Linked DNA regions of Oryctolagus cuniculus. The protein of the gene in region 1 binds, or shares a complex with, the protein of each later gene. Links are inferred from orthologs where the notes say so. Each region holds a gene or a part of one and is shown in the gene's direction. Other genes may lie near its edges.

Region 1 (3,500 bases):
GTGCCCCGCCTCCTGGGCTCCCGGTGGCGGTGGGGGTGGGGGTGCCCGGTGTGGCTCCTGGGTGAGGACACCACAGGCGTCAGAATGAGCTGGGCCGGGGCTTTGCCCTGTCCTGTGGGGCTGGTGGCCTGACCTGTGCCCCAGCCTGTGCTGACCTGGACGGCTGCCTCGGCTCTTCCCTGGGCCCTGCAGCCGAGGGCTCTGCGCTGGCGTGGCCTCTGCACGAGCGGCCCTGCTGCGCCTGGGAGCAGGGCTGTGGGTCCCCTGGGGACTCAGCGAGCAGGTGTTGAGCGGGAGACCCCCTCTGGGGCTGGCATCTGGTGGGCAGCAGGGAGACCTGGCCAGGGGCAGACCTGAGAGGCTTCTTTCTCTAAGACCCCTTGTCCTCGTTCAGGGCGGGTCACACCACCAGTGGCCTGGCGCCAGCCTGTCACAGCCTGGGTGCGCGGTGTGGGGTGGTGGGTGTCCCGGGCCGTCCCACGTAAAGAGGGGAGAAGTTGGTGCTTTGCTCACTGATGACCTTTTCCAGGAATTACGCATGGAAATTGCAAAGCAAGAACTAATTGTCCACGCCCGGGAAGCAGCGTCACGGGTCCTGAGCGCGCTGAGTGGTGAGCCCAGCCCCGAGTCCTCCCCTCTGGGTCCCGGCCCCGCTGGGCGCTCCGCAGACCCTGTGCCTCTCGTCGCCCCGACGCAGATCGGCAGAAGTCGGAGCAGATGGCCGTGGACGCCCAGAAGCGAGAGCAGTTTCAGCGGCTGAAAGAACAGTTTGTGAAGGATCAGGAGGTGGGTAGGCCCAGCCCCAGGGGTGCAGGCCCTGGAGTCCTCGGTAACCAACGGCTGTGTGTCACGCAGCGGCGTCTCGCGGCGAGACAGGAGGAGCTGGATGACGATTTCAGCTTCGCCCGTGAGTTCCGCGACCGGGAGAAGAGGCTGAAGGCCCTGGAGGAGGAGCGGGAGAGGAAGGCCAGGTGGGGCTGGTGGGGGGAGAGGAAGCCAGGTGGGGCAGGTGGGGCAGCTGGGGCTGGGGGGGAGAGGAAGGCCAGGTGGGGCAGCTGGGGCTGGGGGGGAGAGGAAGGCCAGGTGGGGCAGCTGGGGCGGGGGGGGGGGGGGGAGAGGAAGGCCAGGTGGGGCAGCTGGGGCTGGGGGGAGAGGAAGGCCAGGTGGGGCAGCTGGGGCGGGGGGGAGAGGAAGGCCAGGTGGGGCAGCTGGGGCTGGGGGGAGAGGAAGCCAGGTGGGGCAGCTGGGGCTGGGGGGAGAGGAAGGCCAGGTGGGGCAGCTGGGGCGGGGGGGAGAGGAAGGCCAGGTGGGGCAGCTGGGGCGGGGGGGGGGGGGAGAGGAAGGCCAGGTGGGGCAGCTGGGGCTGGGGGGAGAGGAAGGCCAGGTGGGGCAGCTGGGGCTGGGGGGAGAGGAAGGCCAGGTGGGGCAGCTGGGGCGGGGGGGAGAGGAAGGCCAGGTGGGGCAGCTGGGGCTGGGGGGAGAGGAAGGCCAGGTGGGGCAGCTGGGGCGGGGGGGAGAGGAAGGCCAGGTGGGGCAGCTGGGGCTGGGGGGGAGAGGAAGCAAGGTGGGGCAGCTGGGGCTGGGGGGGAGAGGAAGCCAGGTGGGGCAGCTGGGGCTGGGGGGGAGAGGAAGCCAGGTGGGACAGCTGAAGTGGGATGGGGAGGCCAGGTGGGGCAGCTGGGGCCCGGTGGGGCTTCTGGCAGCAGAACTTGCCCCAGAAAGACGGGTGTACTGAGCCCAGAACAACACCTGGCCTGTCACCGGGGGGTGATGGCCTCTGCTGTTTCTGGATGTCGTCAGCTGTCCTGTGTCATCTCTGGTTTTCTTTTCTTTTCTTTCTTTTTTTTTTTTTTTTTTTTGGACAGGCAGAGTTATAGACAGAGACAGAGAGGAAGGTCTTCCTTCTGTTGGTTCACCACCCCCCCCAAATGGCTGTTATGGCCGGCACGCTGCACAGATCCGAAGCCAGGAGCCAGGTGCTTCCTCCTGGTCTCCCATGGGGTGCAGGGCCCAAGCACTTGGGCCATCCTCCACTGCCTTCCCGGGCCACAGCAGAGAGCTGGCCTGGAAGGGGAGCAACTGGGACAGAACCGGTGCCGCAACCGGGACTAGAACCCGGTGTGCCAGCACCGCAGGCGGAGGATTAGCCTAGTGAGCCGTAGCGCCGGCCCTCTGGTTTTCATGAGTTAGAATCTGGCACCATCCATGCACTGGATTTGGTGTCCTGACTCTGTCTAGCTTTAGCGACTCCTGTTTATTTTGAAAGATGTATCTATTTGAAAGAGTTACAGGGAGAGAGAATCTTCTACCTTCTGGTTCACTCCCCAGATGGCTGCAAGGGCCAGGACTGGGCCAGCCAGGTGCCAGGAGCTTCATCTGGGTTTCCCACATGGGTGAGGGGAGCAAGTACTAGGACCATCCTCCATGCTTTCCCAGGCCATTAGCAGGGAGCTGGATCAGAAGTGGAGCAGCTGGGAGTTGAACCAAAGCCCATATGGGATGTCAGGTGTTGAGGCAGCAGCTTTACCTGCTACACCATGGCAACGGCCCCTATTTATTTTATTTATTTATTTTTTTGACAGGCAGAGTGGACAGTGAGAGAGAGAGACAGGGAGAAAGGTCTTCCTTTACCTTTGGTTCACGCTCCAATGGCCGCTGTGGCTGGCGTACTGCGCTGATCTGAAGCCAGGAGCCAGGAGCTTCTCCTGGTCTCCCGTGTGGGTGCAGGGCCCAAGCACTTGGGCCATCCTCCACTGCACTCCCGGGCCACAGCAGAGAGCTGGACTGGAAGAGGGGCAACCGGGACAGACTCCGGCGCCCCGACCGGGACTAGAACCTGGTGTGCCGGTGCCGCTAGGCGGAGGATTAGCCTAGTGAGCCACGGCGCCGGCCGGCCCCTGTTTATTTTAAATCTGGTCCAGCAGAGAGGTGGGCATCTGTGGTGTCAGCTTGTCCTTAAGCTGGGAGGAGAGCTGGACCCTTGAGGGGCTGGCTCCATGTTGTCATGAAGCCCCTTGTGGAAGGCCCGGTCCCTGCATGCCCTGGCCTAGTCTTGTGGTGGCGCCAGGGAGGGTGTGTGCGGCTGCATGCGTGGGAGTGGACATCCTCCTCTTTACACGTGGAGACCTGGCCTGCAGCTCCCGTGTTGGAGGGGCCAGGCCAGGCTAGAGCCCAGTTGGTTGAATCTGGCAGACCACGCCCTGGGCTGGGTGGGCTCCGCGGGTGTTTCTGCGTTAGTGCTTGGCTCTCCGCAGTTTCCCCTGCAGGACAGAAAAGGCCTTCTCCACAGCTTGGAGAGTGAGGCCTCGTTCCCAGGAGACTGGGCCCCCACTCCCTGCTCGGCCCCTGTGTCAGGCTGTGTGGATTCTCACTCGGGTGTTTGTGCAGCAGACGTGTGTCTGTCCCGGCTGGGCAGTTTGTCCATCAGTGCTGCTCGGTGGAAGGCTCCTGCCCAGCCACTGGCAGGAGCAGATGGAGGGCAGGGGCCTGGGGAAGCGGCA
Region 2 (4,062 bases), on another chromosome or scaffold:
TTTAATTCTTCTGGGAATAAAATTTAAGTGGTAGAGGCTGGCGCTGTGGACTGGGGCCTGCGGCGTCAGCATCCCATATGGGCACTGGTTCGAGTCCTAGCTGTTCCACTTCTGATCCAGCTCCCTGCTAGCGCGCCTGGAAGGCAGTGGACCCTGCACCCACGTGCGGGACCTAGAAGCATCTCCGGCTTTTGATGGCTCAGCTCATGCCGTTGAGGCTATCTGGGGAGCGAACTGGGGGATGGAAGATATTTCTCTCTCTAACTCTCTGTCACTAGGTCTGTCAAAAAAAAAAAAAAATTAAATGATGTTGCTTCTAACAACAGAGAGAAATACACATGGAACAGATACTTTCGGAAAGGTATGCACAACCTTAGAGTATACTCAGATTTACCGGAAAACATGCCAAGGAGGGTGGCACTCATGTGATGAACAGAACAGGTCACTCCCGGCTTCAAAAACGATCAGTGAGTCTAAGGCCTCCCAAGACAGGTTCCTCAACAGTCACAAACCCTCTTCCACTTATATTCCACGGCTCTAAAAACAGGCACCCGGCGTACCGAGTCCTGAAACCGCGCTTTGAAGACCGGCTGCGAAACGTACAGGAGCAGCCAGTCTGACGGCAAATACCCAGGATGCCCAGGAACCAAGGCTGCAGGCGTGGCTGTCCCGGGGATTCCAACGCCAAGTTTCGTTCCTGTCACAACAAGCCTCCCCGGTCCACTCTTTCTCTATACCCGACGCCACTGGCCACCGAGCTCCGACCGACGCGCGCGCCTCTCCAGCGTCACCTCGGAGTTACACAAGCCTATCGTCTAAGTTACCTCGGGATTCCTTTTCTATTTCGGCGGTTTCACGTTACAGGTTCCCGGATTCGCTCCTCGCCCATGCCGAAGCAGACCCGCCCAGGCCTTCCGGACAACCAGCCGCTGTGTCAGTCATGATCACTTCCGATTACCCAGGGTTTCACTTCCGGAATATTCTTCCCACAGAGGCGAGAACACACAGTCTGTGGTGCGTTTAAATTCAAGTAACGCAGACGATACAGCGTCTCGCCTCATCAATGGAAAGCTGGAGAGGGGTTTATTTCAAAATAAAATAGTGCGCTCTTTGGCGCCTAGCCGCGTGTTAACTTAAACTTCCGGGTCATCTGCCAACCAAACGGAAGTGAAAATGCTGGCAAGAGGCGGGAGGCGTCCTGTCGCCCCAGGAGACAGCGTGAAGGGGCGGATCTGTCAATGAGCTGGGCGTCACTGCGAGGACTCCCAGCCACTAGGGACGAAGGGGCTGACCGCTGACGTCTCCCGGGGTGTCCGGCAGGGGGCGGGGCCCTGTTGCCAGAGTAACCGGATGATGGTGTGGATGGCGGTGCCTTCCTGGGGCAACTCGGCTTCCTCGTGCTGAGATCCTGAAACTATGGTGAGTGCTAAGGCCGACCAGAAGAGCCGCTCCGGGTTCCTGGTTACGCAGCTTCGCAAGTGTTGGGTCGATGGGCCCTCGGAGGCGTCCGCAACCCTGTCTTCTCCCCATTCTCTCTCCCCCATTTGCCGTGGGCTGTCCCTGCATTCTCCCCATTCTGTTTCTTGCAGCGCCCTGAATTCCGCTCTAATATTACCGTAAGCCCTTAAAGTAAGGCAACAGAAAGTTTAGGGTTAAGACGCGGAGCCTCAGGTGAGATATTATTTCAAACCAGCCTCCTCTTTTGGGTATGCATTATTCATCAGTGCGTTTTTCAGGCTTGTGGACTTCACAGTAACGTTCCACCTAAAAGGCAGATGGTGGTGTGTAGGTGACTGTGGCAACACTGGCCCGAATCTCGCTAGGGCCTGGAGTCTGCCCCGCGGAGTGCCAGAGCACTGCCCCACACTCTGTAAAGGCCCCTTAATCATATTTGTAGAGTGGATCGGCTCGCTTGCATCCAGCTGACTACCTGCTATGTCCGTGCTGCTTAACAGGAATAACTTTCAGGATCACTTGAGAGCTTCTAGAATTCACTTGCTTGAGCTTCCCTCCTAAATTTTTGCATGAATAGGGATGAGGCTCCATGTTTCCATTTTCAATAAGCCTATAAGTGATTTTGCTGTCTTTCTGCCTGGTTTCTCCTGTTTTTCACCATGTTATTTAATGATACCACTGTATTATAACTGAAACTAGAAATCAGTGACATCCTACATTCCCCTTTCTCTGACATTTCCCATATTCAATTGGTCATTATTTTTGTTTAGAATTTCCTCATTTTTACGTTAGCTATTATATTCATTTCTTTTACAGTCTGGTCTGGCAATTTTCTAATCTATCGTTTTTTCTGCCACAAGGAAGAAGTTACTAAGTTCCCATCTGTTAATGCTACTCACCTCTTTGAAAGTCTAGACTTCCGTTTCCTACAGTAAAGTTTGGAATGGCACACAAGAGGCCCTCCACAAGCTAGCACTTACCTTTCTAGCTTCTTTCTTGGCTGTCCCTTTCCTGGATACTCCTTTTAGCCGTTTGCCTTTTAGCTACTTACTACTGAACATAGCAGACAACTTCAAACTGGCAGTATGTCTCTTCCCTCTGCTTGGCACATGGTACTGCTTCTGCCCTTTTCCCTTTTCTTGCATATGAAACTCCTATTGATCCTTCCAAGACTCAGCTTAAGTGTCTCTCTTTCTGTCATGGCTTTTCCTACACTCCACAAGAGGTAACTGTTTATTCTTTCTTGTCACCACTGTATATAGTACACATTTCTTTTATTGTAGATACCACCTTTACTTGAAATTATTTGTTTATAGCTTTGTCACCCTTCCTAAACTGTGAACTGTTAGAGGTATAGATGTTTACTATGTTCACTGCTATTGCTTAGAGCATATTTGGCACTCAAATGTTTGCTGAATGCATAAGAGAAGAGGAAAGAATGAGGTAAGTGGTCTGAACGAGAAGGAGATTGCAGGACAGAGTCCTCACTTCTCAGCTAGAGCATCGTTAAAGCCGTCATGTGGCAAATGGTAGAGAATATCAGTGCTTAGAATTCAATGACCTGTGCAGTGGCATAGGGAGCTGAAAAGTGACATTCATTAAATACTGTTTATTTTTCCTGTCTGCTACTTTTTGCTTTGTTTGCTGTTTTCACTCAGAGTTTCCGGCAATGCTAAGAGCAAACAGCAGTAAAGTGCTCTGCCTGCCTTCTTTGTTCCCATCCTGGCTGGGGTTTCATGGTTGGTGATTCTTTCAATTAGATGGTCAGTGAAGGCCCTTCTGAAGAAAGGACTTTTGGTATTGAGACCTAAATGATACAAAACGTGCTGATCTGGATCTTCAGGGTGCACTAACAAGATCACAGTTCCTGAGGCAGAAAGGGGCAAGCATAAATTTGAGCAACTTATGGTTTAATAGAGTACAAAAATAGAAACTGGGTTGTGAGGTGGTGCAGGGTTAGCTGCTTTGGGAGGTACATGGGGCAGAATAACATGAGATACAGTCTGTATGCAGATGCCAGACTGTCTGTTGTCTGTCTGTCTAGCTATATATCATCTACTTGGCGAGGCTTATGTTTCTCAAACTGTTGGAGGTGACCTATTATTCTGTCATGAAGTAGATTTGTGGTGTGTAGCCAGCATTAACAAAGAAGACTAACATAGAAACTTACCACATCTACTGCATGCCGTGAGGGTAGCTTTCATGAACTTTTGTTTTAAATTGTATATATTTTGTGAATGTACTGGGTTATGACATAAAACATATTACTGTGAGTCATGATCCACAAAGTTCAAGATACTATATACTTAGAGCAACATATACTTTAAAAGGCAAAGCAGTTAAAATCAGAAGCATACAGATTTGTCTTTTCATCTAATGACAGTGTTCTTAATGTGTGGCAAAGAAAGGAATTTAACAAGAGGCGAAAATTGGCTAGAGTGAAATGATCACATTTCTTTCTGTATCCAGCATCTCTCCTATGCTGTTGGATGTCAGTCCTTCATCAGGAAGGGTGGAGAGCAATCAACCGTGCTCCGTCTAGCCTCTGGTGTCTGTATGGCTGTGAAGATGGGGTCTCTCCATCAGCAACTGAGGATGGTGGCTGTC
Region 3 (3,500 bases), on another chromosome or scaffold:
CTCTCTGTCCCTCTCTCTCTCTCACTGTCTAACTCTGCCTGTCAAAAAAATAAATAAATAAGTATAAAAAATAAAAAAGCTGGAAAAGTTGAGAGAGCTATGCTATAATGTTATACTTTAATTCATCAGAAAAATGAATGATTCATGGTTACATTTTTGAAAATTGTGGCCACATTTTAGGCCTTGAAAATTCGAAGACAAGTAAGAGCTGTCCTCTGTCCTTAAGAAGGAGGAACACCAAAGTCAGTTGCAGGAGGATGCAGAATAGGGTTCTAACCTGAGGGTCCAAAGCTGGCATTCAGGGGCTTGTGAATTTGGTTGAGAAAAAATTTTTACACCATCCACTAACTGAAAAGTAGCATTTTCATCAATTATGAATGAAAGCAACAAACCACAGCAATGTTAGCCTACCTATGATTTGTCAGCAGTAAAAACCACATGTCATATTAGAGTTGTTGTGCAGGTATTACTGAACATTGTTTACTCTGACTTTAATGGCAGTCCTTATCCTTAGGCCCACTGCTAGATGCTATATTTAAATGTTTAATAAAGAAATGTATCTCTTAACTCCATCACCAATATTTAAAATTACTTGACGGCTTTATTTCCGTTTTCTTTGTATTTTTGCATTTCAAAGCATCATTCAGGGGCCCTTCAATCGTAACAAAGATTAGGAGCACCTGATGTAGATAGGCTGTGCTGAACTTAGGGCCTTGTTGGAAGACACAGGAGCTAGCAGACAGGGCAAGGATGCTTTCTCAGAACACAGGGGCTGTTTGCCTGTCTGATGGTGGAGGTAAGGGGGAGAGGTGCACCCTGGAAATGTTTAAGTATAGGGTCTATGGACGGATATTCAGAGCTGTGAGGCAGGGCTACTTAGCCAGGTGACAGAACTGACCAAAACATTGCATTTTATTTTTGTTAGGTTTCATCGTTTTTTGGATGTCAATAGCCACAAAATAGAAAAGACAATAGAAGGGTAAGTTGGGTTTTCATGTAAATATGTGCACATTCAGAAATATATGTATTTTTATGCACCTTTCTGTTAATATAGCTCTATAACAGTTGATGTTTTAAATATTTCAGAATTCATGAGAAATTCATAATTCATTCTGATCTCAGCAAGGCTGCTAGCTGGAAGAGATTAACTGAGGAATTTCTAAATTCATCACTTCCCAACGTAAACGAAACAAAGGTATGGTTCACTTACAAGATCTCTGTTGGGTATTTTACTATTTCCAATCTGATTATTGTCAGCTTATTTCTGCTAATATAACAAGGGTATATATTAACTAATATAACATAATAAGGATACGTATTATGTTTATTCAATTTTAGTATTGTCAAGTGGCTAAAACAGGATCTCCTGAAAACTGACTTTAACATTGCCATCAACCAGGTGTGCCTCAGCTTGGGATGAAAGGAAGAGCATGTTCTCATCTCCATTGCCTAACCCCAAACCTGCTATGGAACTAGACACCAGAGATTGGCTCAAATAGTAGCACAGGCTGGATACCTTAAAACTTCCAAATGACTTCCCAGCACTTGGTAACAATAACTGCCTACACTTGTTACAGTCCGAGCACGTGGTGATAACTGCCTGTGCTTGTTACGTATCAGGTGCACTTTCATACCATGTCATGCGTCACCAAAACCACCCGTGGGCACAGTGACTCACTAGAAGGATTCACAGACTTAAGCTGTCATCTTCACTGTTAGTGCTTGTTACAGTGGAAGGGTGCAGATGTGATCCACGTGGGCAAAGGTGCGTGGAGCAAAGGCTGGGAGAAACCGGGCAGGAGCTTCCAATGTCCCTCGCCGTGGGGAGACACAAAAGGAGTGCACTTAATTCTCTTGTAATAGTGTGTGACAGGATTTGAAAATTGGTACCCAGAGGTTTTTGGGGGGGGCAGAGGATCAGCCACATAGGCAGGCAGAGCCTACCTCTAATTCCCATTTTGGCCTTTCATTAGCATCTCCAACCATTTTTCTGTGTTCTCTCCACTATGGGCACCCTGGACACAATGGGACCACGTCCCCTCCTCTGCTGTGACACATCCTGTACCTTACCTGCCTTGCTGCTCTTCTTTCTCCTGACTGGGGACTCTCACCCTTTGTTAAACTCAAGTACTGTCTTAGTGGGTACTGTGTATTTCACTTAGCCTTTTAAGAAGCTGCTAAATTGTTTCCCAAAGAGGCTTATATTTCTACTAGCAAAGTATAAGGGTTCTACTCTCTCCATATCCTGGTCAGCTCTTATTATTGTCTGTCCTTTTGATTGAAGACATCCTAAAGGGTATGCAGTAATATCTCACTGTGTTAGAGTTTACCTTTCTCTAACACCTCATGATATTGAGCACCTCTTCATCTTTTTTTTTTTTTTTTTTTTTTTTTGAAGATTTACTTCATTTATTTTGAAAGAGTTACAGAGAGAGAAAAACAGAGAAAGATCTTCATTTGCTGGCTCGTGCCTCAGATAGCCGCAATGGCCAGCACTAATGCAAGAGCCTGGTTTCATCTCAGTCTCCCTCGTGGAGCCACTTTGGCCATCTTCTTCTGCATTTCCCAGGCCATTAAGAGGGAGCTAGATCAGAACTATAGCAGCCAGGATGTGAACCAGTGCCCATATGGGATGCCAGTATCACAGGTGGCAGCTTTTACCCACTAAACCAAAACGAGAGCCTCTTTTCATGTATATGTTTTTGGCCATTCGTTTGTTTTCTTAGTATCCACTCAAGTCGTTTACTCATTTTTAAATTGGCTTATCTTACTGAGTTACCAGTTTCCTTATCAGAAAAGTGATTTTTGTTTAAGATTTATTTATTTATTTGAAAGTAAGAGTTACACAGAGAGAGGAGAGACAGAGAGAGGTCTTCCATCGACTGCTTCACTCCCCAGTAAGCTGCAACGGCTGGAACTGCACCGAGCTGAAGCCAGGAGCCAGAAGCTTCTTCCAGGTCTCCCATGCTGGTGCAGGGGCCCAAGCACTTAGGCCATCTTCCACTGCTTTCCCAAGACATAGCAAAGAGATGGACTGGAAGTGGAGCAGCCAGGACTCAAACTGGCGCTCATATGGGATGCCAGCACTGCAGATGGCGGCTTTACCCATTATGCCACAGCGCTGGCCCCTATAGTCTCTGTTTTCTTTTGAGATCCCCAAGATACAATTATTTTGCTTGGCCGGCGCCGCGGCTCAATAGGCTAATCCTCCACCTGTGGCTGGCACCCTGGGTTCTAGTCCTGGTCGGGGCACCGGATTCTGCCCCGGTTGCTCCTCTTCCAGGCCAGCTCTCTGCTGTGTCCTGGGAGTGCAGTGGAGGATGGCCCAAGTGCTTGGGCCCTGCACCCGCATGGGAAACCAGGAGAAGCACCTGGCTCCTGCCTTCGGATCAGCGCGGTACGCCGGTAGCAGTGGCCATTGGAGGGTGAACCAGCAGAAAAGGAAGACCTTTCTCTCTGTCTCTCTCTCTCTCACTGTCCACACTGACTGTCAAAAAAAA
Region 4 (4,229 bases), on another chromosome or scaffold:
AATAAGCCCCAAGCTGTGCAAGCCTCCACAGAGACTTGGCGCTTCCTGTTCGTAGGCAGGCAGCTCCTGTGCCCCTGTGGTGGGGGGTTATTGAGAACAATCTTTAAAAAACATCAAAACTGTGCATTGTATGGAGTACTATGTGACATCTCCAAACGCGTACATGGTGTGATGTTCAAACCACAGAAAACATATCTGTCTCTGCAAACATTTATCAGCTCTTGAGGGTTCTAGCTTTTTAAGAAAGCAAACAATACTTTACTGTCATCCATAGTCACCCCACAGGCCAATTCAACACCAGAATGCCTTTCTCCTGTCTAACTATAACTTAGTATCGGTTAATCACCCTTTCCCATCTGGCCTTCCACTAATTGAGAACAATCTAACCCCACTCGTTTGGAAGTAGAATAAACTGCTTTTGTTTGTCCACTGAAATACAATACAGCAGTTAAAAGGGATGAACTAAATCTACCCATATTAACACGGCTACATCACAAAAAGCCCTAATGTAAGGTGAAAAAAGCAAGCTGCTTTTCTCTGATATTATACTTTGGTATCATTTATATAAATTTCAAAACACAAAAATAGATGGTAAAAATATAAAATTATGTTGTCTATGTCACCTTTCCGGTAATTTAGAGTAAAACAGAGCCTCAGAGATACCACTTCACACCCAGGCTATGATCAAAAGCTAGCGAGGAACAAGTGTTGCTGGAGATAACACTGGAACCCCTCAGCACTGCCAGTGGGAACGTAATCTTGTGCAGCTGCTGTGGAAAAGAGTATGGCGATTCCTCAATTAGACACAGTTATCAGCAATCCTACTTCCGGGTATGCAAGCAAGGAGTTAAATAGATATCTGTACACCCGCGTCCAAAGGGGCACTATTCAAAATGGCCAAAAGGTGGAACAAGTGTCCGCCGAGGTTTGAGTGGATAAACAAATGTGGTGTATCTATGCCACGGAATATTATTCAGCTTTAATAGAGAAAGAATGGTGACTTCCAGGGTCTGCGCCGAAGACGGGAAGTTGCTGTTTAATGGGTAAGGTTTCAGTTTGGGAAAGAGAAAATGCTCTGAAAATGGAGGGTGCTGATGGGTACAGAACAATGCGAGTATACTTAATGTCTGTTAACTGTTGAAATGATGGATTTTATGCTGTGCACGAGTATGTCAAACAATTTTAGAAAAATAGAAATTTAAAGGAAGAAAGTTGCCTTGGATCCAGCCCAGGCCCCAGCGGAGCTGACAGTCCTTAGGGCATCAGGACCTACACCCGGACTACCTAGTGCACCCAGCCGTCCTCTCCCCACCTGCCCGCAGCCTAAGGTCGCGACCCTGCGAGCCCCCGCCAGTCTCAGGGCGCAGGCGCGGAGAGGTGGGCAGGCGGGGGCGTGGCCTCGCTCTGCGCCTGTGCCGAATTCCAGCTGCGCCTGCCATGGGGGAAAATGATGCCCAGGTTGGGCTCCGCGGCCCGCCGGCGGAGCAGACGCCCGCACTGCACACGCGCAGACCGAGCGCTCGCGTCGAGAGGCGAGGGGAGCGCGCGCTGCCCACGTCCTGCGCGCCCGGCTGCCGGGCGTTCGTCTCGGCCGTGACTCCCGCCGGGCCCGTGTCCGCAGAGCGATGCCCCGGGAGATCATCACCCTGCAGCTGGGCCAGTGCGGCAACCAGAGTGAGCAAGCGAGCTCCGGGCCCCGCCACTCTCTCGTTCTGCCCCTTCGGGGTCCACGGGAGTGCTTGGTTCCCACCGGGTCCCCTCTCCCTCTCGTGAACCCCCTGCCCTACTGCGCATGACCACGCAGGCCCTGGGCTGTGACGGCTCCCAGAGCCGGCGTCCTGGGCGCACGCTCCGAGAGTGGCAGCCTCAGAGCCTGACGCTGAGCTGCCCAGGCCTTTCGGCTCTCGCAGACCCGGGCGTCTCCCCTCTCCCCAGTTGGTTTCGAGTTCTGGAAACAGCTGTGCGCCGAGCATGGTATCAGCCCCGAGGGCATCGTGGAGGAGTTCGCCACCGAGGGCACGGACCGCAAGGACGTCTTTTTCTACCAGGTGCCCCCGGCGGCTGGGCCAGGACCCCGGGGGCCTGAAGGGACGGGGCAGGGGCTGGTGCTGGGGAGCCCGCTGGGCACAGGGCCCCGCGGCTGGCTCGGGGAGGGAGGCCCGGCAGGAGCCCGAGTGGGACTGGACTGGGGCCTGGGCCGGCGGTGGCGCCGGCTGACGGGGCCGCCCCTTCCCGGCCTCTCGCTGGCAGGCCGATGATGAGCACTACATCCCGCGGGCCGTGCTGCTGGACCTGGAGCCCCGGGTGATCCACTCCATCCTCAACTCTCCCTACGCCAAGCTCTACAACCCGGAGAACATCTACCTGGCTGAGCACGGAGGAGGAGCTGGCAACAACTGGGCCAGGGGATTCTCCCAGGTGTCCAAGCCGGGGACCCTTGGATAGTCCCACCCTGGGGCAAGGCAGGCTCAGGCAACCTGGGAATTTGACCAGAACAGATTTCTGATACGTAAGAGATAAAGGGATGCTTTGACAAAGGGACAGCCAGGGAGAGCTTTATGCAAATTTTGTACAAGTCACAAAGTATCATTTCTGCGTTGAGGGCAAGAGCTGAAGCTCTGCTTCAGGGGGGTCACAAAGCCCTCCCCCGCCGCCCTCCCTTGTGGAATTCTTGTTGCTGAACAGAGAACCTTGGACCTGACTCTCTGCCATGTCTCTGTCCAGGGTGAGAAGATCCACGAGGACATCTTCGACATCATAGACCGGGAAGCGGACGGAAGCGACAGTCTTGAGGTGAGCTTCTCCCCAGCTCCCGTGGGGTGCAGCGGAGAGGGGCTGCGGCGTGTTGGGGGTCAGGCGGTGGCCCGAGCAGGCCCTGGGATGGTGGCAGTCCAATTCCAGGCCCATTTGTTGAGCATCTGGTTTGGGATCTTGAGGTAGATAAGGTGCAGTCCTTGTTCTCAGGGAAGCCGTAGCCTGGAGGGTGTGAATCCCTCAGCCTGTCCCCAAGCCCTGAGTCTTCCCAAGGAGCCTCGGCCTGGACGGACACAGAGGAAGCCTTGAGGCACGAGTGTGTTGCGAGTGGGTGGGGAATGAGACAAGCTGGCAGCCTCCCCCTCCCCCTGCCCAGGTCCCTGGTCACTGCCTGTCCTTCACTCCCACACAGGGCTTCGTGCTGTGTCACTCCATTGCCGGGGGGACCGGCTCTGGCATGGGCTCCTACCTCCTGGAACGGCTGAATGACAGGTAGGCCGGTGTTTGTTAGGAGGGCATTAGCCCGGGTCCCCTTTTCCTTCTGAGCGGGAAGGCCTGCCCCTACTGCTTTTGAGTCCTAGAGACAGACCCACCCAGGTAACCTTGGCAGCAACCAACACCTGGGGGGGGGGGCACCTGGGGACAGGGGAGATCTAGAGTTTGATGCTTGCAGCTTATCCTGTTCATTCTGAAGACTGAGTCCCGCCCTTACCCTGCTACTGTACAAGAGCTTGGTGGCACACGAAAATCGTGGTGCCCATTGTCCCCACAGAAGACAGAGTGAGCAGTCCGGTAAGTCCTGTTGCTTCTCTGTGCCACCCTCCCCCTTTCCTTCTTCTTCACCCTCAGGTACCCCAAGAAGCTGGTGCAGACCTACTCAGTGTTTCCCAACCAGGACGAGATGAGCGACGTGGTGGTCCAGCCCTACAACTCGCTCCTCACGCTCAAGCGGCTGACTCAGAACGCAGACTGCGTGGTGAGCAAAAGAAGAGGGAGTCGAGGGCTGTGGGACCCCCCTGAGTCACAGCCAGCCTGCCCTGCCCTGCCCAGCACAAAAAGAACCACCAAAGCCAGACCCGTGGTCGGACTGCGAAGTAAGGTCGCAACCTCCAGGGTGCTTATGTGACTTTAGGCAGCCAGTCCCCCAGCACAGGGACTGCCTCCCCCTGCCACCACATAAGCCACTCAGCCCACTCAGTGCCTGCTCACGTTTCAGCTCCAGCTCAGGGGTCACTGTCTTAGTGAAACTTCGCTGCCTACCCAGTCAAGGTCAGCTTCCTTTGTCATATTTCAGGTTAACAGCGTCTTTTTTCTGTTCTGTATTCAATGTCAGCCTCCCTCAACTAGGCTGGAGGCCTGGCGAGGGCAAGACCGTGCCCGTTTTCACTCTGTGGTCACTCCAGACCCAGGCACAAAGTGTGGCACAGAGGACACTCACAGATTTGTTTACTGCCCTGCACTGTCCAGAGGGACTC
Region 5 (4,252 bases), on another chromosome or scaffold:
CTGCCTCTCAAGCCACCAACAAAATTTTTGCACACTGCAGCCATTTATATATATATATATATATATTCTGTGATATAGTCCCCCTTTACCTTATAAAGATATTTACATCTACAATTATTTGTAGCTGTTAACACTTAAAATTAGTAGTAAAGATTAGCCAAGAATAACTCACTGGCAATTTTGCTGATTTAAAAACAGAAGGACTGGCGAGAGTTTGCTCATGGAGATTACAATAATCACTAGGACTTTCAAAAGGATTTAAAACAGGGATCCTCCCTGGAGTTTCTGGTGATATTTGCATCTTTAATTCTTTGACTTCTCCCATAGCCTGCAGCGAAAACTAAAAAACAAAATCAGAAACATCCGTATCAAAACTATACAGTTTCACAGACAGCGACTATGACAAAATGTACTGAACAATCACATTTCATGGAAAGGATTAACTCCAAACCTAACTCTCTTGGGGCTATCTTATAGCTTACCCTCTCTCCTCCCCACCCCACCCCAAAAAAAGCATTACTTAAACATTTCCTAGAGTGCTCCTCCAATAACCCGGGAAGCCAGACTGCCACCATTCTGCAGCAGAATTAAGCTTAGAGAAGTTAAGAGGCTTCTAAGTAGCAGTCAATCAAATAGGAATGAATTCAGGCCTGCCTTCGAGGCGACTAAACGTTCCAGCAGGGAAAAATATCTTCCCTTCTGCCTACAGCTTCTCATCCATTCCTTCAAGATTCGCCACAGGCCGATACTCCAGCCACTCTGGGCCGAACTCCAGTGCTTTGTGGGCCAGCGAGCAGATGAGGAAGCCAGCGCGCGGGCGCCTTCTTCGCACAGGAGACCTTGGCCAGCCAAGTCCGACTGACGGGGGCCTCTCCGCAAACCTCCCGCTCCCGTCGCCAAGACCCTCCCGAGAGAGACAGCGAGGCCGCACGGCTTCCAGTTCAAAGGGCTCCATCTCCAGAAAAGCCAGCATCCCGCCTCTGCAAGGGCGAAGTGCAGCCGGCTTCCTCGGGTGAGCAGCGGGGAGGACGTGTCACGGCCCCGGGCCCACGCGATCGCTCTGTCTGCGCAACCCCTCTGGGCAAGACCCCACTCCCTCGCTGCTCCCGTCCCCACCCCGGGGCGAGCGGGCAGGCAGGCCTGAAGCCGAGAAAAGCAAGCCCTCCAGTCAAGAAAGGAGGGAAGCAGAGGAAAGAACTTACCCACTGGCGCGTGGGAAAAGGAATCCCTCCACAACATCAACTCCAGGATGCTCCCAAGAGGGGACCAGGCCAGCTCCCACGACAGCCGCAGACTCTTTAACTCCCCGCTTCCGCGCTGTCTTAGGCCAACCAGCGCACGGGGCCTGACGACGACTGGCCAATGGCGTCGCACCGCCGTCCGCGAACCAGCCAATCACATCCAAGCCGCGAGGTAAATTCGAATGGCAACGCCTCGCTCCCCACATTCCGCGCAGAGGAACGAGGCTCCAAATTCAAATCCACGCAGCCGCACGCTGGCGGCGAGCGCGAGGGGCGGAGCCTGCCCGGCGTGAGCGGGCGACGCGCGGTGTGATTGCCCGGGAGAAAAGCAAGGCGCTCCAGTTCCGGGTCGGGCCCGCAGCTGCCTCCCTCGGTCTCTGCCATGGCGAGCAGTAGCGGCTCCGGGGCGGCGGGGGCGGCCGCGGCGGCGAATCTGAACGCAGTGAGGGAGACCATGGACGGTGAGTGTCCCTTGTGGCCTCTTTATCTGGCCGAGGCCCCCAGGCGGAGGACAGCCCGGGGAGGACTTGAGGTCGCCTTCCCGCCCCGACGGGCATCTTGGAAGATCCCGGAAAGCGATTCGCCGGGGCCGCAAGGCTGCTGCTGGTCCTGTCCCTGCAGAGTTGTCTCTCCGCTCCTGGGTCGTTGGTCGCGCGCGGCGTCCCGGCCCCGCACGCCAGTCCGTTGCTCGCGCGCCGCGCCCACTCCGCTTCCCGCGCGCGTCCAGTGTCGGCGGAACGCTTCGGATGGAAGTCTGTGCGGACGTGGGCCGCGTGTGCGTGGCCACCGCCGTGGCCCCTGCCCCTGGCACAGCAGGGACAGGCGCTGTTTAGATATCTGTTATTAGAGTCGCCCCTGTTGCGTGTTGGAGCGGGTGACGCGTGTCCGGATGCGGTGGGCGTCGTCGCGGGCACCCCGAGGCACGTGGCGGCCAAGCCTCCACGTGGGTGGTAGACCAAGTCACCCTGTACCCTCCAATGTCGGCCCTTCGGAGTGAGTTTGGACAAACTGCTGCGACATCTTTAAGCGTGTTCTCACCACTCCGCCTCCCTCCCTCCCCGGGGCATGCAGGAAGCAGGGTTACTGTGATTATTTAAAGACAAAGCAGATAAAGGCATAGCGAGGATCGATTTGGGGGGAGGGGGATTAGATGTCAACCCGGTTGCAGCCTCCTTGCGTGAGAGGATTTGAGTGCTGTTAAATAGTCCTAGGTCCTGTTTGCAGTCTGCCACGGTATTTTCCATCTCTGTTAAAAAGAGACCGCTGTGGAATCCTCACTAGGGAGTGTCAGGCTTCCTACAATGTTTTGTTCACCGGAAGTCCCACTTGCTATCTATCAGTCCCTGCATGTAAGAGTTTCTGATGAAGGCTTCTGACTTTTTGCACTGGCTGCTGCTTTCCTCTTCAAAGACTCACCTAACACTAGTGGAGACTTTGCATTCATTTCTTACTCATCCAGTATCTACTTTGCTGGTTTTCTGAGAATTTTCTTTTATGACACGGCATCCAGCCTATTTTTCCATCCTCATTGATGTGTCATGGCATACCAATTTTATAAATGAATTTAGATTTATGTACATGAGGATTTCTGTATAAGTAATATTATCCTGTATGTTTCCTTGGAAGTCAGTGTTTCTTTTTTTTTTAAAGATTTATTTATTTATTTGAAAGTCAGAGTTAGAGAGAGAGAGAGAGGTCTTCCATGCGATAGTTCACTCCCCAACGCCAATCCGAAGCCAGGAGCCAGGAGCTTCTTCCAGGTCTCCCACGGAGGTGCAGAGGCCCAAGGACTTGGGCCATCTTGTACTGCTTTCCCAGGCCATAGCAGAGAGCTGGATCGAAAGTGGAGCAGCCGGGACTTGAGCCGGCACCCATATGGGATAACCTGTGCCACAGTGCCTGCAGGAGTATTTCCATTTTTAACAGGATGGAGAGGCTGAGGCCTTGGGTCCAGCCTGTCTTCTCTGTTAGCTGTCCTTGAGTTCCTTATTTATATTGCTGTAGGATCCCAAAGGCTTCAGTGTAGTACTACTTTATACTTAATCAGAGAGTGAATTTAAGGAATGCATCATACAGAGCCGAGGTTAGGAGAGTTCACAGTGTATTCACCTCATTTGACCTGCCCTGCAAGGCCCTGTCAGCAGAGTAAATCCAATCCAGTTATTCATTAAGTCTTTCCAATTTTTCACTCATCTCAGATTTGACCACTTGTCTTAATCTCTCCTATCACTAGTCTTTCACCAACATTATAATAACTGGACTTACTTGCCTCAGGTGCTCTGCCATTTTCCAAATCCCGTTACATATTCAGGCAGTTTTTTTTAAATGCTGATCTGATCTTCGTATATTCCCCATTTTATTATTTTCCAGTGACTTCCCTCAATTTTTTTTTTTTTAAGATTTATCTATTTATTTGAAAGTCAGAGTTATACAGAGAGAGGAGAGGCAGAGGCAGAGAGAGAAGTCTTCCATCTGCTGGTTCATTCCCCAGTTGGGCGCAGCGGCCAGAGCTGCGCTGATCTGAAGCCAGGAGCCAGAAGCTTCTTCCGGGTCTCACATACAGGTGCAGGGGCCCGAGGACTTGGGCCATCGCGTACTGCTTTCCCAGGCCACAGTAGAGAACTGGATCAAAAGTAGAGCAGCCAGAACTCGAACTGGTGCCAATATGGGATGCTGGCACGGCAGGCAGCGGTTTTACCTGCTATGCCACAGCGCTGCCCTCCACCCCACCCAATTTCTTTTTTAAAAATAGTTAAAACATTTATTTTTTTATTTGAAAGTCAGAGAGAGAGAGATGGCAGGGCTGGACCAGGCCAGGCCAAAGCCCATAAGCTGGGAATTCCATCTGGGTCTCTGGGTCTCCTGTATGGGAGGCAGAGACCCAAGTACTTGAGCCATCATCTGCTTTCCCTGGCACGTGAACGGGGAGCAGTGGAGAACTCCAGTACGAGAAGCCTTCTTTGCAAAATGCAGCTTAACCTGTGTCAAAACACCAGCCCTGCTAAGATCTT
Region 6 (4,265 bases), on another chromosome or scaffold:
AACCTCCTGAAGCGCTGCCGAAAGGTCTCCGAGTTAGTGCCATTCCCTCTCAGGGCGGGGTTGGCCATCATTCCAGCAGAAAGCAGCGGCCCTCCGCTCAGGGCGTGGGTTCCAGGGCTTACTCCTATCTTCCCATGTCCTTGGAGAATCACCTGCAGATAAGTCTCTGTCTGTGAGAGGAGTCTCTTTCTAGGGTAGAGAGAGAGAGGACACTATCAGAAGGAATATATTCATACGTCTAAAGCCTTGTTAGAGCTGGCCTGACTTCCTACATGCTCCAAGTAGCCGCGTGAGGCAGCGCCTTCAGGGCGATAAGCCAACACGGAGCATGAAGGAGAAAGACCTTTCAAAAGCTGTGTTTCTGGACAGCCCCAGGAAGCAGAAAACAGCACTGCCTTGCTCCTTTCCCACCTCCCCCAGATCTGCTCCCATTTCATTCTCCTGATCAGTGTTGCACAGTGAGTGCCAGCCATATGGGAAGCCAGGATCTAAAAGCAAGTCACACGGCTGAAGGCAACAACAAGCCTCTCTGTCCAGCGGGTAGCAGCTGATCTCCCCCAGTGCCTCCGCCCCGCCCCTCTCACTCCGCAACTACCAGTGCCCACCACCGACAAAAGCCGAGTCGGGAATATCGGGTCTTTGTTTTCCCTTCCCAGCAAGGGGTCGGGGGCTACTGACGGGAAACCGCGTGCATCGGGAGCAGCTGCTGTGGGTGGCTCCTGAAGCAGGCACCGGGTGGGCCTGGGGAGCGTCTCACTGAGTTGGTGAGGAGCGGGGGTCCGAGGGGCAGCAGGAATGGGTCTCCTGAGGACGAGCTCGGTGCTGACTAGGGGCTCCAAGTGCGGCGGACTCGCGGGCGCTGAACTCCGCTCAAGGATCAGCGGGTGTGCGGCTCCGGCCTCTTTGTCTTCGCTCCCTCCGGCCGGGTCACTCCCGGAGTCGTCCTGCAGTTCCTCCTGAGGCCTCTGATAGGGTCAAGGCGCCCTGAGAGCACCCTCCGGTCCACATCTAGGAGCGTCTGTCTCTGGGACTGTCTCTCTAGTCACTCGCATAACTGACCCCCGCTCAGCCTCTCCCACTCCGGGATCAGCCCCAGCCAGGACTCTCACACCACCCAGACCAGCTCCCAAACCGGAAGTCCGAGCGGGCAACTCGGGGGCGCCGAAGGCGCATGCGCCGGGAGCGCTGCGCAGACCGCAAGTCGGCAGCAGCGCGGCTGGAGCTGGCGCGAGCTAAGCGGAGGGCCGCGCGGAGCCCGGCGCACTTCCGGGACCCGGCGCGCGGTCACTTTCGCCGCCTAGCCTCCTCTCCTCCCGCAGCCGTGGTCCGGGCGGGTGCAGTCGGAACGAGCCGCCGGAGCTAAGGGCGTGCGTGCATGTGGAAGGAGGTCCTCGCCCCCGTGTTCTCCTGAGAGGACGCTGGAGGAGAGGGTCACGTCCCCAGAGACTCGAAGTCCGCCGTGGGCATGATCCACGAGCTGCTCTTGGCTCTGAGCGGGTACCCGGGCTCCATTTTCACCTGGAACAAGCGGAGTGGCCTGCAGGTACTGTGCGGCTGAGAGCGCGGGAACGAGGGAGCAGACTCGGCTGACCTGAGCCACTGAGGGACCCGGAGGGCGGGACCTGCGGGGGCTGGGGCCGCATAGAGGGCAGCCCCCCACGGCCTAAGGGTGAGGGAAATGCTAGCATGAGAAACCGAGGACAGACCCCCCCAACAGCCCTGCCTTGCCGCGGGGTGTGGGGACAGGGCGTAAGGTGGCGGTGTCTGAATGACAGGTACAGGGGGCCTGGTTATAAGTGAGGAAGGCACTTAATCCTGTTCACTTTCACTCCAGCATTCTGAGCTTTGCATTCTGGTTCAGAAACACAGCGCCCAGCAAACTTGACTGAATGGAAAAAGAGATTTCAAGAGCGTGTGGAGCGTTTCCCTCCTGACTCTTTTCCCAAAATATACCTGCACCAGGTGGAGAACTTGCTTGGGGGTCTTCGTGTTACCAGGAATGAGAGATGTATGAGGAGGAAGAGTCATGTGATATCCATAGATAGTTAGGGCGTAGGTGAGCTCCTTTAATCCACACGACCACTTGTACCCATTTTACAGATTAATTGGGGCACAGATCCGTAAATATTCCCCTGTGTCACATACCTAATAATTATCTTAGTTGTTTTTTTTTTTTTTTTTAGATTGATTTATTTGAGAGGTAGAGTTACAGACAGTGAGAGGGAGAGACTGAGAGAAAGTCACTCCCCAAATGGCTGCAACGGCCGGAGCTGCGCCAGTCCGAATCCAGGAGCCAGGAGCTTCTTCCAGGTCTCCCCCGCAGGTGCAGGAGCCCTAGCACTTGGGCCATCTTCCACTGCTTTTCTAGACCATAGCAGGAAGTTGGATCGGAAGTGGAGCAGCCGGGACTCGAACCGGCGGCCACATGGGATGCCGATACGGCCAGTGGAGGCTTAGCCCAGTATGCCACAGCGCCAGCTGTGTTGGTAACTTTAAGGAATTGTTTGCTGTTCCTGCTCCAGTAATGTTACCCATAATTTTTTTTAAAATTTTCTAAAACTATGTCAACAGGAAATCTTATTGGCAGAGCTATCTTGATGATAAGAATTGCTTGTATGTTTTGAGCACCCAAGGTCTCCCACATGGGTGCATGGGCCTAAGCACTTGGGCCATTCTCTGCTGCTTTCCCAAGCACATTTTTCCCAAGCATATTTCTCCAGTATGGGATGCCAGCATCGCACTCAGTGGTGCACCCTGCCACACCACACTGCTGGCCCTGGCGCATGTGCTTCATGTGTATTCTTCTTTTTTTTTTTTTAAATTAAACATTTATTTATCTTGAAGAGTGACAGAGAGGGAGAGACAGAGCAAGAGATCCTCCATCCGTTGGGTCACTCCCCAAAATACCACAGGACACCAGGGCTGGGCCAGGCTGAAGTCCGGAGCTTGGAACTTCATCTGGGTCTCCTACAAGGTTAGCAAGGGCCCAAGTACCTAGACCATTTTCCACTGTTTTCCCAGGCACATTAACAATTCAATACTCACAATTATTGCCTCTGTAAGAATCAAAACTGAGCACAGAGAGGTACATTAACTTGGCTTAGCTATGAGGCAAGTAGGAGGCAACTCACAGATTCAGACTGAAGTAGTCTTATTCCAGGGATCAAGTTCTTAAGCACTGTTATACCACTTCATAAACTATTGGCTTGAAGATATAATTAGTATTATGTCATTAAGATCTACATTAAATGAATTCCTAATTAGGTTATTGTGGACTCAGTAACAAAAATTGTCCTTTGCCTATTTATGACCACATTTATGGGCATATAAAGATGGCATCAGGGGCCAGCACTGTGGCGTAGCGGGTAAAGCTGCTGCCTACAGTGTCCACATCCCATATGGGTGCCAGTTCTAATCCTGGGTGCTGCACTTCCAATCCAGCTCTCTGCTACGGTCTGGGAAAGCAGTGGAAGATGGCCCAAGTCCTTGGGCCCCTACACCCACATGGGATACCCGGAGGAAGCTCCTGGCTTCGGATCAGCGCATTTCCGGGCGTTGCGGCAAATTAGGGAGTGAGCCAGCAGATGGAAGACTTTCTCTCTCTCTCCTCTCTCTCTCTCTCCTTCTCTCTCTCTGCCTTTCCTTCTCTCTCTATGTAACTCTGACTTCCAAATAAATAAATAAAATTTAAAAAAAAGATGGCATCAACCAAAGACAATAGTTACAATGTGAATATGTGATGTGTTATAAGTTGCTTTGGAATGGTAGCTTTATCTGATTTTGTGTACTTTTTAAATCTCAGAATGTTAGCACAGTACTTGGGGTATAGTAGGTGTTCATTAAAAGTTGATTGATTTGGGGCTGGCACTGTGGCAGAGCAGGTAAAGCTGCCACCTGCAGTGCCAGCATCCTATATGGGCACGGGTTCTAGTCCAGGCTGCTTCACTTCCAATCCAGCTCTCTGCTATGGCCTGGGAAAACAGTAGAAGGTGTCCCAAGTGCTTGGACCCTGGCACCCATGTAGGAGACCCAGAAGACACTCCAGGCTCTGGCTTCAGATAGGCCCAGCTCTGGCCACTGTGGCCATTTGAGGAATGAACCAACGGATGGAAGACCGACTCTCACTCTGTCTATATCTGTCTGTCTGTCTATCCATCCATCCATCTCTGCCTCTCTGGGCCTATCTGCTGATTTTCCCAGGCCATTAGCAGGGAACTGGATCAGAACTGAAGCAGCCAGGGCTAACACTGTGGCGCAGTGTGTTA
Region 7 (3,500 bases), on another chromosome or scaffold:
TCACTGCCCGAGAGCAGCAGAGGACAGCCCAAGTGCTTGGGCCCCTGCAGCCACGGGGGAGGCCTTGAGGGAGCTTCCAGACCCTGCCTTCGGTCTGAGCCAGCCCTGGCTGGTGTAGGCATTTGGGGAGTGAACCAGAGGATGGAAGTGTTCTGTCTGTCTGTCCGTCTCTCTGTGCCTCTCAAGTAAGTTACAGAAAACCAGAAGATAAAGTACATCAAGTGACAGCAGGGATTTAAAACACCTCGAAAGGAATGTTAGGCTTGTATCACATCAGCCTCTGTAGTCCAGTCCTGGCTGTTGTGGCCACTTGGGGAGGGGACCAGCAGAAGGAGGGTCTCTGTCACTCTGCCATTCAAATAAATAAATCTAAAAAAAGTTAGTTTATTTTGGTAGTGAAACAATCTGAAATCCATGTGCGTTTTTCATAACACACATTTCCCGTGACCTTTTTGAAGACCTCCCATGTGTTGGGTTCTCACAGGCAGCCCCATCGCGAGAGAACTTCTCCTGGGGAGTTGCACCACCTCAACCCCCCACCCTGGCAGAACGGGCGTCTTTCTTCCTGTCCTTGCTCTTCCCGGCCTGACCTCATTTACGAGTTGGTAGACTTCGGCCTTCTGGAAATATAGCATCTAATAGCATTCATTTCATCTTAAAATGTGTTTATTAGTAACTATTCTTCGTTTTGCAGGGACATCGGAAGTTACCGAAGCAGCTCTCGTGAGAGATATTTTGTACGTCTTCCAGGGCATAGATGGCAAAAATATCAAAATGAGCAACACTGAAAACTGTTACAAAGTGGAAGGAAAGGTACCGTGACATAAATCTAGTTTAAAATATTCAAAAGGATCATTAAGTGCAGTTAGTGAGCTGTTAGACTATCAGGTATCAGGGTTTGTACTGCGTAAGTGCACTGCCAACGTGTGGTTTATGCGTCCCTGTCCAGTTTGTGGCTGGTGTGATTCTGTTACTGGGCCCTCTGGGCAGTGCCTGCTTCCTCTCATATTCACTATGCAGCTGCCCATGGAGCCCTATACCCGCATTCTGCAGCAGAGGTCACGGCCTTGAGGGACAGGTGCAGCTCAGGGGTCTTTGCTTGATCCTTTCCTCTTCCGGAACCTGCCTTTCCCGTGGCACCCTTGGCCCCAGCCCTTCACAGAGCGACTGTCACAGCCTCTGTCTCACTGAGGACCAGGCCCAGGCCCAGCAGCGCTACACAGATGGATGTGACACAGCTTAGCATTCCTGTCAAGGCGCTGTCACTTGATGCGTTTTGTTTTCTGTAACTTACTTGAGAGGCAGGGAGACAGACATACAGAACACTTCCATCCTCTGGTTTACTCCCCAAATGCCTACACCAGCTGGGGCTGGGTCAGACCTAAGGCAGGATTTGCAAGCTCAATCTGTCCTTCCTCTGTGGGTGGCAGAGACCTAAAGCCTTGAGCCTCTCAGGGTCTACATGGGCAGGAAGCTGGAGTCAGGAGCTGGACCAGGAGTGGAGCCCAGGCACTGCAGGGGTAACTGCCAGGCTGATGCCCACCCCGATGCCTTTTCTTTTGTTGATGGTGGATTAGTTATTGTTAACGTCCATGTGGGGCAGCCCAAGAAGTTTCATATTAAAGTACACGTGGTTGAAAAATGAAATTAAAATTCTGGTATTGGTCTTCAGTTTTTAACTCTGAATATATTTACTTTTAGGCAAACCTGAGTAAATCTTTGAGGGACACGGCAGTGCGACTCGCGGAGCTGGGGTGGCTGCATAATAAAATCAGGAAGTACACTGACCACAGGAGTCTGGACCGCTCCTTCGGACTTGTAGGTCAGGTGCGTCCACTGTCTCTAAAATACTGGGGAGTGCTGGATCCACCTTAAATCTCTGTGAAAATAACTCTGAAGCGGGCTCTTTGTAAAGAGAGCGGTTTTGAGAATTGTATCATCAGGATCCACTCTGGAAGACAGAAGCTACTGCGGTGTTGGCAGAGCCTGCTGAATGCAGCAGATGGGTTGAGCAGTGAAAGGAGACAGCCTGGAGCATGTGGTCACTTGGGAGCCGGCGAGAGTGGAGCCGTCAGGCCCCAGAGCGTGGGGGACCTGCTCGCTGCTCTCCTGCTTCAGGCAGGTGGAGGAGTGGCCCTGCTGGGACACAGGTCTGTGAGCAGGGCATCTGCCGCTGCATTGGCCAGCCCTGCTGCTGCCATCGCTGATGGACAAGCAAGTTGTTGGGGCTGGTGTGCTATTCCTTCTCCCTCCTCCTGCCTGGTGTTAGGAAGTGGTGGACATAAAGAAGTGGTATTAGATTTTTATTTTCCCAATTTTTTGTATTTACTAGAGAGACAGACAGATCCCTCCAATGCCTGCAGTAGCTGGGACTGGGCTAGGGCCACAGCTAGGAGCTCAGTGCAGGCCTCCAGCCTGGGCAGTAGGAGCCACCACTTGAGCTGTCACCGTTACCTCCCAGGGTCTGCAGTAGCAAGAAGCTGGAGTTGAGCTGGGGCTGTGACTGGCACACAGGGCCCTGATGTGGGGCCAGGCGTCTTAGCTGCCAGGCCAAACAGCTGCTCTCTGCAGTAACGCCCTCCTCCCCCTGTCCCTTTTAAGAAAAGATAATTTATTTGAGAGGCAGAGTTACAGAGAGAGGGAGAGACAGAGAAAGAGATCTTCCATCTGCTGGTTCACTCCTCAGATGGCCGCAGTGGCCGGAGCTGGGCAATCTGAAGTCAGGAGCCGAGAACTCCATCCAGGTCTCCCAGGTGGCGGTCTGAGCCTAATACTTGGGCCATCTCATCTTCTGCCTTCCCAGGAGCATTAGCAGGAAAGTGGGTCAGAAGTGAAGCAGCTGGGACTTGAATCAGCACTCACGGGGTGCCCTTGTCTCCTGATACAGGCTTAACCCACTGTGCCACAGTGCCGGCTCCCTCTCCCCAGTCCCTTTTTAATTGTTAGGTGGTGCATAGTTGTGGGCACAGCTTGATTCTTGGGCAGTGACCATTGCCATTCTAATTCTCCGAAAAGTCACAGAGGAATCACAGAACAGCTCTGCCTACAAGTACCCGTCGGGGTGCTGGTGGGAGTTGTGCGACTGTGTCTCTGCCCTGGGGGCTGGGGTTGGGCTTCGGTAAGACAGGGTGCTGTGCCGTGGTTTGCTCCGAGTGCTACTTAAGAAACCTGGGCTGAAGCTTGGCGGGATCCAGGCTGTGGTCAGCACGTGGGGGCCGTTGAGGGGCCAGAATTTAGTGCCGCTGCACGTCACCAGGACTGTCTGAAGGCGTCGCCTTGGCACCAGCACGGGGCGGTGTGCAGGAGTGCGTCTCGCCGCATTGTTCTTTTCCCTTTCCCCGCAGAGCTTCTGTGCCGCCCTGCACCAGGAACTCAAAGAGTACTACCGGTTGCTCTCTGTTTTACACTCCCAGGTAAACTTTGTTGTTATTTTGATTTCTCCGTGATTTGAAAGGTTAAAAAGTGAAGCTATTATAGAATATTATAAATTGCTGCATACA

What was found.
Region 2: TUBGCP6 (region 1) and NME7 share a complex: the UniProt entries of both Homo sapiens proteins name them as parts of the gamma-tubulin ring complex. The link is inferred for Oryctolagus cuniculus from reciprocal best matches to the Homo sapiens genes TUBGCP6 and NME7.
Region 3: the proteins of TUBGCP6 (region 1) and TUBGCP5 are in contact, whole or in part, in a cryo-EM structure (PDB 7QJE), measured with the Homo sapiens proteins. The link is inferred for Oryctolagus cuniculus from reciprocal best matches to the Homo sapiens genes TUBGCP6 and TUBGCP5. Residues at the interface, in NP_065194.3 of Homo sapiens: Glu290, Ala291, Ser292, Lys293, Arg294, Arg295, Cys296, Trp297, Glu298, Arg299, Val300, Gly301, Cys302, Pro303, Pro304, His306, Arg307, Glu308, Glu309, Pro310, Tyr311, Leu312, Glu314, Lys322, Arg325, Leu326; in NP_443135.3 of Homo sapiens: Asp211, Asp212, Arg213, Trp215, Leu216, His219, Val220, Val221, His222, Trp225, Ser230, Phe232, Pro233, His234, Leu238, His239, Ser240, Asn241, Leu242, Leu264, Val265, Thr266, Glu267, Thr268, Gln269, Arg272, Val302, Thr303, His304, Leu305.
Region 4: TUBGCP6 (region 1) and TUBG2 share a complex: the UniProt entries of both Homo sapiens proteins name them as parts of the gamma-tubulin ring complex. The link is inferred for Oryctolagus cuniculus from reciprocal best matches to the Homo sapiens genes TUBGCP6 and TUBG2.
Region 5: the proteins of TUBGCP6 (region 1) and MZT1 are in contact, whole or in part, in a crystal structure (PDB 6M33), measured with the Homo sapiens proteins. The link is inferred for Oryctolagus cuniculus from reciprocal best matches to the Homo sapiens genes TUBGCP6 and MZT1. Residues at the interface, in NP_065194.3 of Homo sapiens: Met1, Ala2, Ile4, Leu7, Phe8, Asp10, Leu11, Cys12, Ala14, Leu15, Pro17, Ala33, Leu37, Val40, Ala41, Ala44, Leu45, Asn48, Ile70, Leu73, Lys85, Arg88, Leu89, Leu92, Val93, Glu95, Leu96, Leu104, Leu105, Ser109; in NP_001065243.1 of Homo sapiens: Asn17, Ala20, Val21, Thr24, Val27, Leu28, Glu30, Ile31, Ser32, Ile34, Leu35, Asn36, Thr37, Leu39, Glu42, Thr43, Leu44, Ile46, Cys47, Arg49, Leu50, Cys51, Glu52, Gln53, Ile55, Asn56, Pro57, Glu58, Ala59, Leu60.
Region 6: the proteins of TUBGCP6 (region 1) and TUBGCP4 are in contact, whole or in part, in a cryo-EM structure (PDB 7QJE), measured with the Homo sapiens proteins. The link is inferred for Oryctolagus cuniculus from reciprocal best matches to the Homo sapiens genes TUBGCP6 and TUBGCP4. Residues at the interface, in NP_065194.3 of Homo sapiens: Leu312, Thr313, Ala315, Gly316, Arg317, Ala319, Phe320, Phe323, Leu326, His327, Glu349, Pro390, Glu391, Ser392, Ser395, Leu396, Glu399, Tyr403, Ser455, Leu456, Leu457, Thr458, Gly460, Phe461, Lys464, Lys465, Arg468, Arg471, Tyr472, Glu475; in NP_001273343.1 of Homo sapiens: Met1, Ile2, His3, Glu4, Leu6, Leu7, Ser10, Gly11, Tyr12, Pro13, Gly14, Ser15, Ile16, Gln29, Phe31, Pro32, Phe33, Leu34, His35, Pro36, Glu38, Thr56, Ile59, Glu60, Thr63, Val66, Gln67, Gln68, Ile84, Arg87.
Region 7: the proteins of TUBGCP6 (region 1) and TUBGCP3 are in contact, whole or in part, in a cryo-EM structure (PDB 6X0U), measured with the Homo sapiens proteins. The link is inferred for Oryctolagus cuniculus from reciprocal best matches to the Homo sapiens genes TUBGCP6 and TUBGCP3. Residues at the interface, in NP_065194.3 of Homo sapiens: Pro65, Arg67, Asn68, Leu71, Met72, Ser74, Phe75, Asp76, Arg78, Asp87, Glu90, Asp151; in NP_006313.1 of Homo sapiens: Pro9, Asn10, Val11, Leu13, Gln14, Glu25, Ala26, Ala29, Gln30, Phe32, Gln33, Val36, Arg37, Ile39, Gly40, Ser41, Phe43, Thr129.

What each region holds. Positions count from the first base shown.
Region 1 is NC_091442.1:123,182,238-123,185,737, reverse strand, and holds part of TUBGCP6 (gamma-tubulin complex component 6), read left to right. Parts: intron 1-529; coding exon 530-611; intron 612-697; coding exon 698-786; intron 787-855; coding exon 856-971; intron 972-3,500. UniProt on the Homo sapiens protein: Component of the gamma-tubulin ring complex (gTuRC) which mediates microtubule nucleation.
Region 2 is NC_091438.1:29,352,254-29,356,315, forward strand, and holds the start of NME7 (nucleoside diphosphate kinase homolog 7), read left to right. Parts: upstream 1-1,262; 5' UTR 1,263-1,416; coding exon 1,417-1,419; intron 1,420-4,062. UniProt on the Homo sapiens protein: Possesses an intrinsic kinase activity. Displays 3'-5' exonuclease activity with a preference for single-stranded DNA. Does not seem to have nucleoside diphosphate kinase activity.
Region 3 is NC_091443.1:17,671,358-17,674,857, reverse strand, and holds part of TUBGCP5 (gamma-tubulin complex component 5), read left to right. Parts: intron 1-925; coding exon 926-979; intron 980-1,086; coding exon 1,087-1,195; intron 1,196-3,500. UniProt on the Homo sapiens protein: Component of the gamma-tubulin ring complex (gTuRC) which mediates microtubule nucleation.
Region 4 is NC_091448.1:20,231,109-20,235,337, reverse strand, and holds the start of TUBG2 (tubulin gamma-2 chain), read left to right. Parts: upstream 1-1,429; 5' UTR 1,430-1,625; coding exon 1,626-1,674; intron 1,675-1,935; coding exon 1,936-2,048; intron 2,049-2,250; coding exon 2,251-2,418; intron 2,419-2,724; coding exon 2,725-2,793; intron 2,794-3,166; coding exon 3,167-3,246; intron 3,247-3,603; coding exon 3,604-3,730; intron 3,731-4,229. UniProt on the Homo sapiens protein: Tubulin is the major constituent of microtubules, protein filaments consisting of alpha- and beta-tubulin heterodimers. Gamma-tubulin is a key component of the gamma-tubulin ring complex (gTuRC) which mediates microtubule nucleation.
Region 5 is NC_091440.1:40,016,012-40,020,263, forward strand, and holds the start of MZT1 (mitotic-spindle organizing protein 1), read left to right. Parts: upstream 1-1,452; 5' UTR 1,453-1,623; coding exon 1,624-1,702; intron 1,703-4,252. Other genes in the region: BORA (protein aurora borealis), read right to left, coding at 173-340, 1,207-1,239. UniProt on the Homo sapiens protein: Required for the recruitment and the assembly of the gamma-tubulin ring complex (gTuRC) at the centrosome.
Region 6 is NC_091443.1:66,338,390-66,342,654, forward strand, and holds the start of TUBGCP4 (gamma-tubulin complex component 4), read left to right. Parts: upstream 1-1,465; coding exon 1,466-1,543; intron 1,544-4,265. Other genes in the region: ZSCAN29 (zinc finger and SCAN domain-containing protein 29), read right to left, coding at 1-71. UniProt on the Homo sapiens protein: Component of the gamma-tubulin ring complex (gTuRC) which mediates microtubule nucleation.
Region 7 is NC_091440.1:1,197,272-1,200,771, forward strand, and holds part of TUBGCP3 (gamma-tubulin complex component 3), read left to right. Parts: intron 1-694; coding exon 695-813; intron 814-1,701; coding exon 1,702-1,827; intron 1,828-3,344; coding exon 3,345-3,413; intron 3,414-3,500. UniProt on the Homo sapiens protein: Component of the gamma-tubulin ring complex (gTuRC) which mediates microtubule nucleation.